Linked DNA regions of Drosophila melanogaster. The main gene of each other region encodes a partner of the protein of the gene in region 2 in a complex. Each region holds a gene or a part of one and is shown on either strand. Other genes may lie near its edges.

Evidence for each region. The genes of interacting proteins can lie anywhere in the genome.
Region 1: the proteins of eIF4E1 (region 2) and Thor are in contact, whole or in part, in a crystal structure (PDB 4UE8), measured with the Drosophila melanogaster proteins. Residues at the interface, in NP_001261626.1 of Drosophila melanogaster: Lys80, His81, Pro82, Leu83, Met84, Tyr91, Ile107, Thr108, Val113, Glu114, Trp117, Ser118, Leu119, Tyr120, Asn121, His122, Ile123, Lys124, Pro125, Tyr135, Leu174, Asp175, Leu178, Cys179, Ile181, Gly182, Glu183, Phe185, Asp186, Ser188; in NP_001285588.1 of Drosophila melanogaster: Lys51, Leu52, Ile53, Tyr54, Arg56, Phe58, Met59, Lys60, Leu62, Arg63, Ser65, Pro66, Leu67, Ser68, Gln69, Thr70, Pro71, Pro72, Asn74, Val75, Pro76, Ser77, Cys78, Leu79, Leu80, Arg81, Thr83.

The regions. Positions count from the first base shown.
Region 1 is NT_033779.5:3,476,386-3,480,137, reverse strand, and holds Thor (thor), read right to left. Parts: upstream 1,705-3,752; 5' UTR 1,523-1,704; coding exon 1,378-1,522; intron 954-1,377; coding exon 745-953; 3' UTR 526-744; downstream 1-525. UniProt on the Drosophila melanogaster protein: Repressor of translation initiation that regulates eIF4E1 activity by preventing its assembly into the eIF4F complex. Hypophosphorylated form competes with eIF4G1 and strongly binds to eIF4E1, leading to repress translation.
Region 2 is NT_037436.4:9,400,645-9,404,396, reverse strand, and holds the start of eIF4E1 (eukaryotic translation initiation factor 4E1), read left to right. Parts: upstream 1-1,936; 5' UTR 1,937-2,093; coding exon of another isoform or gene 2,094-2,117; exon of another isoform or gene 2,118-2,480; intron 2,481-2,591; exon of another isoform or gene 2,592-2,740; intron 2,741-2,790; 5' UTR 2,791-3,300; coding exon 3,301-3,357; intron 3,358-3,443; coding exon 3,444-3,752. UniProt on the Drosophila melanogaster protein: Recognizes and binds the 7-methylguanosine (m7G)-containing mRNA cap during an early step in the initiation of protein synthesis and facilitates ribosome binding by inducing the unwinding of the mRNAs secondary structures.

The DNA of each region.
Region 1 (3,752 bases), on a different chromosome or scaffold from region 2:
CTATCTGAACGAACATGTGCTCAGCACACTACTTTTGTATATATAAGAAAAATGGTAAAGGGCGGGGCGGGGGCCAAAGGCGAGGTCGTTTCCCAACTGCGCAGTTTCTTAAAGATCTATTTTTTTGTGGCGTTTGTTTGCCGGTTTTTGGATACATTATAAATATGTATGCATATCTTTGCAATAAGTGGGACACGCGCTGCTGGGGCCACTGACTGACTGGCTAACTAAAAAGCCGGCCGGTATTTCCAGCTGTCTAACATGTGTACCGCCCCCCAAAAAGCCCCCTTTCGCTAAATTTCTTCGTAAACAGTTCAAACAGTTCAACAAACTGCCGAAAATACTACTAAACCGAAACTGACTCAAGGTGAAGTGGAAAGTGTTCTATCACATAACGCGTGGCCTGCCAAGGTTGAATTGCCGATAAAGAAAGTAATTTGGCACTGAATTTCTCAAACATAAATTAAAATTTATAATTGTAAATTGGCAGCTACTGAATCCCAATGGAAGGTGTGGTTCTCTTTTAAATAATGTGTGCCTTTTTTTTATTGCATTTTACTTAAGATCTACGATTTTACAAGGTAACGGGGTCAATATGACCGAGAGAACAAACAAGGTGGAAGAACTAAGAACTTAGCATCTAGTTAATGGGTACACTAAGCTTATAAGATCGGTTTTAGTGGGTGCATCTAAGAACTAGTTGGATTTGGCAGTTGCTGCATGGCGGTGTACACGCCACACCCCCTACAGATCCAGTTGGAACTGTTCCTGGTCCTCAATCTTCAGCGACTTGGTCTGCTTGATCAGTTCCGTGGGGACGGGCACGCACTTGCGGAAGGGAGTACGCGGAGTTCCCCTCAGCAAGCAACTGGGCACGTTGGACGGCGGAGTTTGGCTCAATGGGGAGCCACGGAGATTCTTCATGAAAGCCCGCTCGTAGATAAGTTTGGTGCCTGGAATTATAGGAAAGCGGAAATTTTTATTAGTCAAGGTGGTCTGCGTTGCATCAGAAAGGTATTCAAAGTTCCCCACTGATAAGCCAGCTGAGTAAACGCTTCTTTGCCGCGCTACTCTGAGTCACGAACTGTGGAACATGTGCTCGGGATTATCTTCCAACTGACTGACTCGGCGAGATGGCCCAGTTTCATCAGCCAAAAAATGGTGAGTGAGTTTTACAAAAATAATGTATCACAACTCAAACAAAAGCTTGTTTGTTGTTTGAGCAAAGGAAAGAAACGGTATACTTGTTTATGTTTTCGAAATATGTTGATTAATTTCATCTTGATATCATATCTAATGATAAGAAAATCACTCCACTTTCCGGAAGGAACTTAATAATACTCGATGTAGTCTCAGCTTCCAATTTTCGAAACTTACCTCCAGGAGTGGTGGAGTAGAGGGTTCCGCCGGGCGTCGAGGAGTACACCTCGGGCATCTGGATCGGATCCGAGATGACAACCTTCCTGGTGATCATGGGCAGGGCCTGGGTGATGGCTTGACGGGCGGTGGGTGAAGCGGACATCTTAGCTGATTGATTGGATTGGTTTCGAAAACTTTCCGCTGGACGTGTAAGCACACTCGATATGGCTGCGACAATTTGATTGTTTACACAAACTGCGTTGTTTGTATTTCGTTGCTTGTATCAGCTATAGAGCTTGTGTGGCTGCTATGTGTTCACCGTTGGCTGTTCGCTAGGCGATTGCTGGCGGTATTACGAAGTGTGGCTCTATTTATACCCCCCCATTCTTACTCTCTCTCGCTCTCTTCTCGCTCTTTCGCCTGCTCTCTCGCCTGATTATTCTGCTTGGTCGGCTGATGTTTTTTGTTTTTATCTGGTGTATTTTCTGCGTAGTTTATGACAAACCGGCTGGTTCTTGTTGTTATTGCCGTATTCTAATATATTCCCCTATTGTTCTTATTTTTGTTGCAGCCTGCACACCTCGGAGGTTCTAGATGATAAGGGGTGTAGCGATGGTGGGGGGCTGTCTTGAGGGGCTTCTCGCCTTGAGCTCTTGTTTATCTTTGGTCATTTGTTATTGTTTAATGCACGGCAATATTATTGGTAAACAAGTTAGCCAACAGCACTAAACGCCAATCGCATTCTTTTCTAAAAACCAAGTCTATTGTCGATCTTGCTAGGGAAATGATGATGACTCAGGTGCAATTGGGATCTTATCTATGGCTGTCTGGGAGTCAAGAGGTGTTCCGCAGAATTTCGTGAAGTACTGCCGCTCTCTCCATGGGGCCATTATTTTGCACTCGTTTTCGCGAAATACCATTAATTAGCATAAAGACACGTCGCCGGCAATCGTGACGTAGGCTATGAGTGCCTTCTATGCATGTGCGAACTCGCGGAGCATAGCAATTTGAGCAACGATATTGCAGGTTTTTATGGGCTAAAAGATACCCAGCATTTCACTTTTTTTCAGGCGGAAAGTGTTCATTATTATCTGGCACGAGCCGTTTTGAAATAATTATCACGAAAAGATACACGTCTTACATAACTTACTTGCTTTATTTACTTAGATATGCAATTTTAGCGTGATTTCTATATTTAGGAGTGCACAATCCAAAAGTACGCTTAGCTCATATCAAAATTTAACTTGACTGATATGAAACATACATATTTAATATCTTTTCTTTGGCACATTGACTTCTTAGCCGTTTAATATTAGCGCACATATCTAAAGAAATACATATATCATATCACCAAATTTGGTGATCGAACCCTTATTAGTTCCCAAGTTCTTTGAGGTGGAATATCTTGTTTGGAATCAAACTAATATGCCCCACTGATCGCAGCAAGCATAGGGTGGATCCAAGCAGCGGCACGAGCGGTTTTAGCTATGCGGGGGCGATGTTGACGATATTTAATCGTTGGACGCATGTAAATAGTGCTACAGGAACTTTTGCCTACGTTGGCGCCCACGATTCGACGTAATTCGGATATTGGCCACGGGCCATTCCGAGGGATATGGGGTTGACAAAAGGTGGCCACGTGTGTTGATCTGCGGCGATCATGATCTCGATGTGGGACAGGGGATGGCGCCCACCTAGAAATCTGCACAAGGTCGATACTTAAGCGTGCTAATATTTATGATGGCTAAATGGGGAAGCTTGACAGACCTTGAAAGTAGATTTCCATGTGACGAGGAGCATATTTGAATTGGGGAAAGCATGACCCAAATCCATCAATTACACTAGATGGGGGTGGGAGTTAGCTGGGTGCCAACTGACCCCCAAAGTAGTAAACGGTAAACAAGGGAGCCAGAACACGAAAAACACGGACAATTTTGCCGTGTCATCTAGCACGTAGTCCACAGCATAGAAACCGCCCTACGTGCCGGCTGATATGTTTATATATTTTATTTTTTGGGTGAGAGAGCGGCTCTTCTCCGCATTTTCCACCTCCATTAGGGCTTATCAACCCTCGAAGAAACCAGTTCGGATTTTGCTTTCGTTTTCATCAGATACAATATGATGTACCTGCGCAAAGAGAGAGAGACAGGCCTATAGCCGCGAGGAAAGAGACGGCAGGCAGTTTTCCTACTGCGTTGCAGCCAAGTTAAAATGCGTCTTGAGATATTCCTAGCCGGTTCTCTAAGCGCCGAGGGGTGTTTTTCCCATCCGCCGGGGGACAGGTAATACATACGTACATATATAGTGAAATTCGGATGAAATCTTTTTCGGGGAGGCTGATGAAATTGCACCATCGAATTGCGTGAAACATACGGACGAACGGTGGGTCATTA
Region 2 (3,752 bases):
ATTCAAGTGGCATTTTCAGCGCTCGTTGGCTGTCAGTTTCGAGTATCTTAAAGATACTTTTTTGACCAATCGGAATTCATTGGTTCAGTAAGCATATTCGGCGACTGGGTGTCTGAAATCTGGTTTCGATCATCTTATCTTGATGGTATAACTAGCATTTAGATACCCATTTTTCTTCATAATTCTTAATTTTATTTGTTGCATAATTTATGAAAATAGTACGAAAAAGTACAATTTTTTATACAGGTTCTGTATAAGTTACAAGGTACCCATTAGTCGAAACCTTATTTATCGAACTTTATAACCTAACCACTTGACTATGATTTATTTACAATTAAGCATCTTTGAGCGCTTCAATTACTTTTTACTTCCAATTAATGCAAAGTATACTGCCTAAGGTTTAACTTTGACTCCGGGTTTCCTGTAGATCGGCGGAAGTTTTTTTGTTTAGACATGCGCCAAGCACTTGAAGTCCGCAATTGACTGCTGCATAATTAGATGCGATGCGATTGGAATAGAGGATGCGATGGGTAATCACATCAACACTTGGACAGGCGATCAAGTGTCAGTTCAATAAGACCGGCTCAAGTGTAATTAGAGACCACGGATCTTGGGTTTCGGGAAGGGATCTTGGGTTTTCGGATCATCGATCCAACGATCGTGCCGAGCTCTTGAAAGCCGCTTATTAGGCATTTACAAGGGCAACTGCGCAGTTGATCGGTTACAAAATGACTTAACTATTTAAATAATAAACACGCTTCACGTTTCTCAGGCTAAGTTCGTAAGCATCTTCAATTTTCGGATTGCGTCTCAACTGCAACAGTCTATTTTGAAAGTCAAGCGTTTCTAAAAGCGCCACATCATCAGCGGTAATATTATCCATCCCTCATAAATATTCCCATGTTGTTTTGGGATCTTTTGGCTATTTTTAAAGCAGACAAAGGCGAGCCAATAATGTGTGGAAAGAATTTTGGTTGGATTCAAATACGAAGCAGCTTTGGTAACAACTAAGGTTCTGGGTTAGTCATGATTCACCAACAGGTTAGACTTAGTTTTGTGGCAAAATTTAACCAATGACGTCCAAGTTCTAACTAAAGTAATATCGTTACTTTGTTATTTTATTTTTGGATATTCTCGAAAGTTTCTGGAATTCTCAAGAAAACTTAAACAATATAGAGTCGCATTATATGGAAAACTCATTGATTCATTCTTATGTTTGTTATTTTGTTATTAAATTCCAATTGATGATGCCAGTGTCTAAATAAAAACGAAGACCTAATTTTCAACCAAAAATCAGGTTTTCTGGGCTTGTCCGTATTAAACATTTTTGATAATTATTTATAATATATTGTTATTTTTTGCTGGCTTCAAAACATCAACAAATTGTGTATGATAAATGACGATGACGTTGTTGTTGATGGCGATCGCGCTGTGGGAATCAGATGAAATGTCAATTAAGTTTGCATTTATATCTTTGATTGAAGCTCTAAGATTTGCTTTGCCATTTTATGCGGAAGTTAAGCTCGGTCAGTTCTTGAAAAAGTTCCCATGGGAGCAAGTTATTTGTTTTTTGACAATAAGAAGCGTTTATTTAAAATGGCTTATTATGGCCTCAATGATTCCTAATAGGCGTAACTTACTGGTTATAAACTTGTTTAATATCGTTTCATTTTAAACCTGGATGACAGAAAATGAATTTCGGTTCAAATACAAATATTACAATAGAAAGTATGATATTTAGCTCCGATAAACATTTAACAATTTTAGTATTTTAATGGTGAAATGGTAAATTCCGCGCATGAAAAGAGATAGAAGAGATGACATATATGGAAACCTTAAAAACGTAACGGTTGCTTGGGTTTTATAACAATCAGTCAGTGACAGGCATTTCCAGAGTTGCCCTGTTCAACAATCGATAGCTGCCTTCGGTCGCTCGTCACTAACTTTCCTTTAGGCAACGGCCACACTGTCTGGCCACCAAAATCCCAAACTTAATTAAAGAATTAAATAATTCGAATAATAATTAAGCCCAGTAACCTACGCAGCTTGAGTGCGTAACCGATATCTAGTATACATTTCGATACATCGAAATCATGGTAGTGTTGGAGACGGAGAAGGTAAGGCGAGAAACGGCGAGCCGCATGGTTTCGATTTCGGCTGAGCCGTGGCAGGAACAACAAAAACAGGGTTGTTGCACAAGAGGGGAGGCGATAGTCGAGCGGAAAAGTGTGCAGTTGGCGTGGCTACATCATCATTGTGTTCACCGATTATTTTTTGCACAATTGCTTAATATTAATTGTACTTGCACGCTATTGTCTACGTCATAGCTATCGCTATCTCTGTCTGTCTCTATCAAGCTATCTCTCTTTCGCGGTCACTCGTTCTCTTTTTCTCTCCTTTCGCATTTGCATACGCATACCACACGTTTTCAGTGTTCTCGCTCTCTCTCTCTTGTCAAGACATCGCGCGCGTGTGTGTGGGTGTGTTCTTCTTTAGCTACATATACATAAATAGGAGAGCGGAGAGACAAATATGGAAAGAATGGAAAAAGAGTGAATTACTGCAATTAACCAGTCGCGAACAGTTAAATCATATTTTTGTCGGCCATTGCAGTAAATAAACCGTTGGCTTTCCCTCTTCACTTTCCACCTCCTTTCTTTGACGTTAATTTTTTTCAGTTAATCGCGCCGCTGCTTTGAACTCGAACACGAATTTTAGCCGCAACATAAAATAAAATCAAGTAACTCTTTTAACTCAAATATAAAACAACAATTCCAATTCTTTCAACAGGCAATCTGTGTTTTTATGTCAGATACGTGCGCGTGTGTGTGTGTGCTGTAATTCCATCGCCCCTTTCGATTCCGAGTTCGTTAGGAACAGCATTAGTTCGCCTATTTTAGTAGTAGCCTAGTCCGATTTTAAGTGAAACAGGATACTCCAACACCATATACTCAATAATTAGTTACAACACCCACTCAACCATACAGCAACAACAAGTTTAACGAGTTTTTTGTATTATCATTACTTAGTTTTTTGGTTAATAATACACAAGTGAAGAGCGAACTGCAGGGGAGCGAGATATCACGAAACAATCCAAAATCCACACACACTCAAACAGAAATCAAAAGCTTCGCTCTCTCGCACACACACGCACCAACCAACTATCAACTATCACAAACACCGCGACAGAGAGAGAGCGGCAAGTGAATCACGGCGAATCGAAACCGATCCGAACCCACTCCGGAGCCGAAAAAGAACTGATCCTACCATCAAACGCATCCAATAAACACGGCCGCCAACATGCAGAGCGACTTTCACAGAATGAAGAACTTTGCCAATCCCAAGTCCATGTTCAAAGTAATACTCTCAGTGCGCCTGTCGCTAAGCCAAGCTAATCTAATCTTCTGATTCCCCTTCCCATCCATTGCCATCTTCTCCCGCAGACCAGCGCCCCCAGCACCGAGCAGGGTCGTCCGGAACCACCAACTTCGGCTGCAGCGCCCGCCGAGGCTAAGGATGTCAAGCCCAAGGAGGACCCACAGGAGACTGGTGAACCAGCAGGCAACACTGCAACCACTACTGCTCCTGCCGGCGACGATGCTGTGCGCACCGAGCATTTATACAAACACCCGCTCATGAATGTCTGGACGCTGTGGTACCTTGAAAACGATCGGTCCAAGTCCTGGGAGGACATGCAAAACGAGATCACCAGCTTCGATACCGTCGAGGACTTCTGGAGCCTATACAACCAC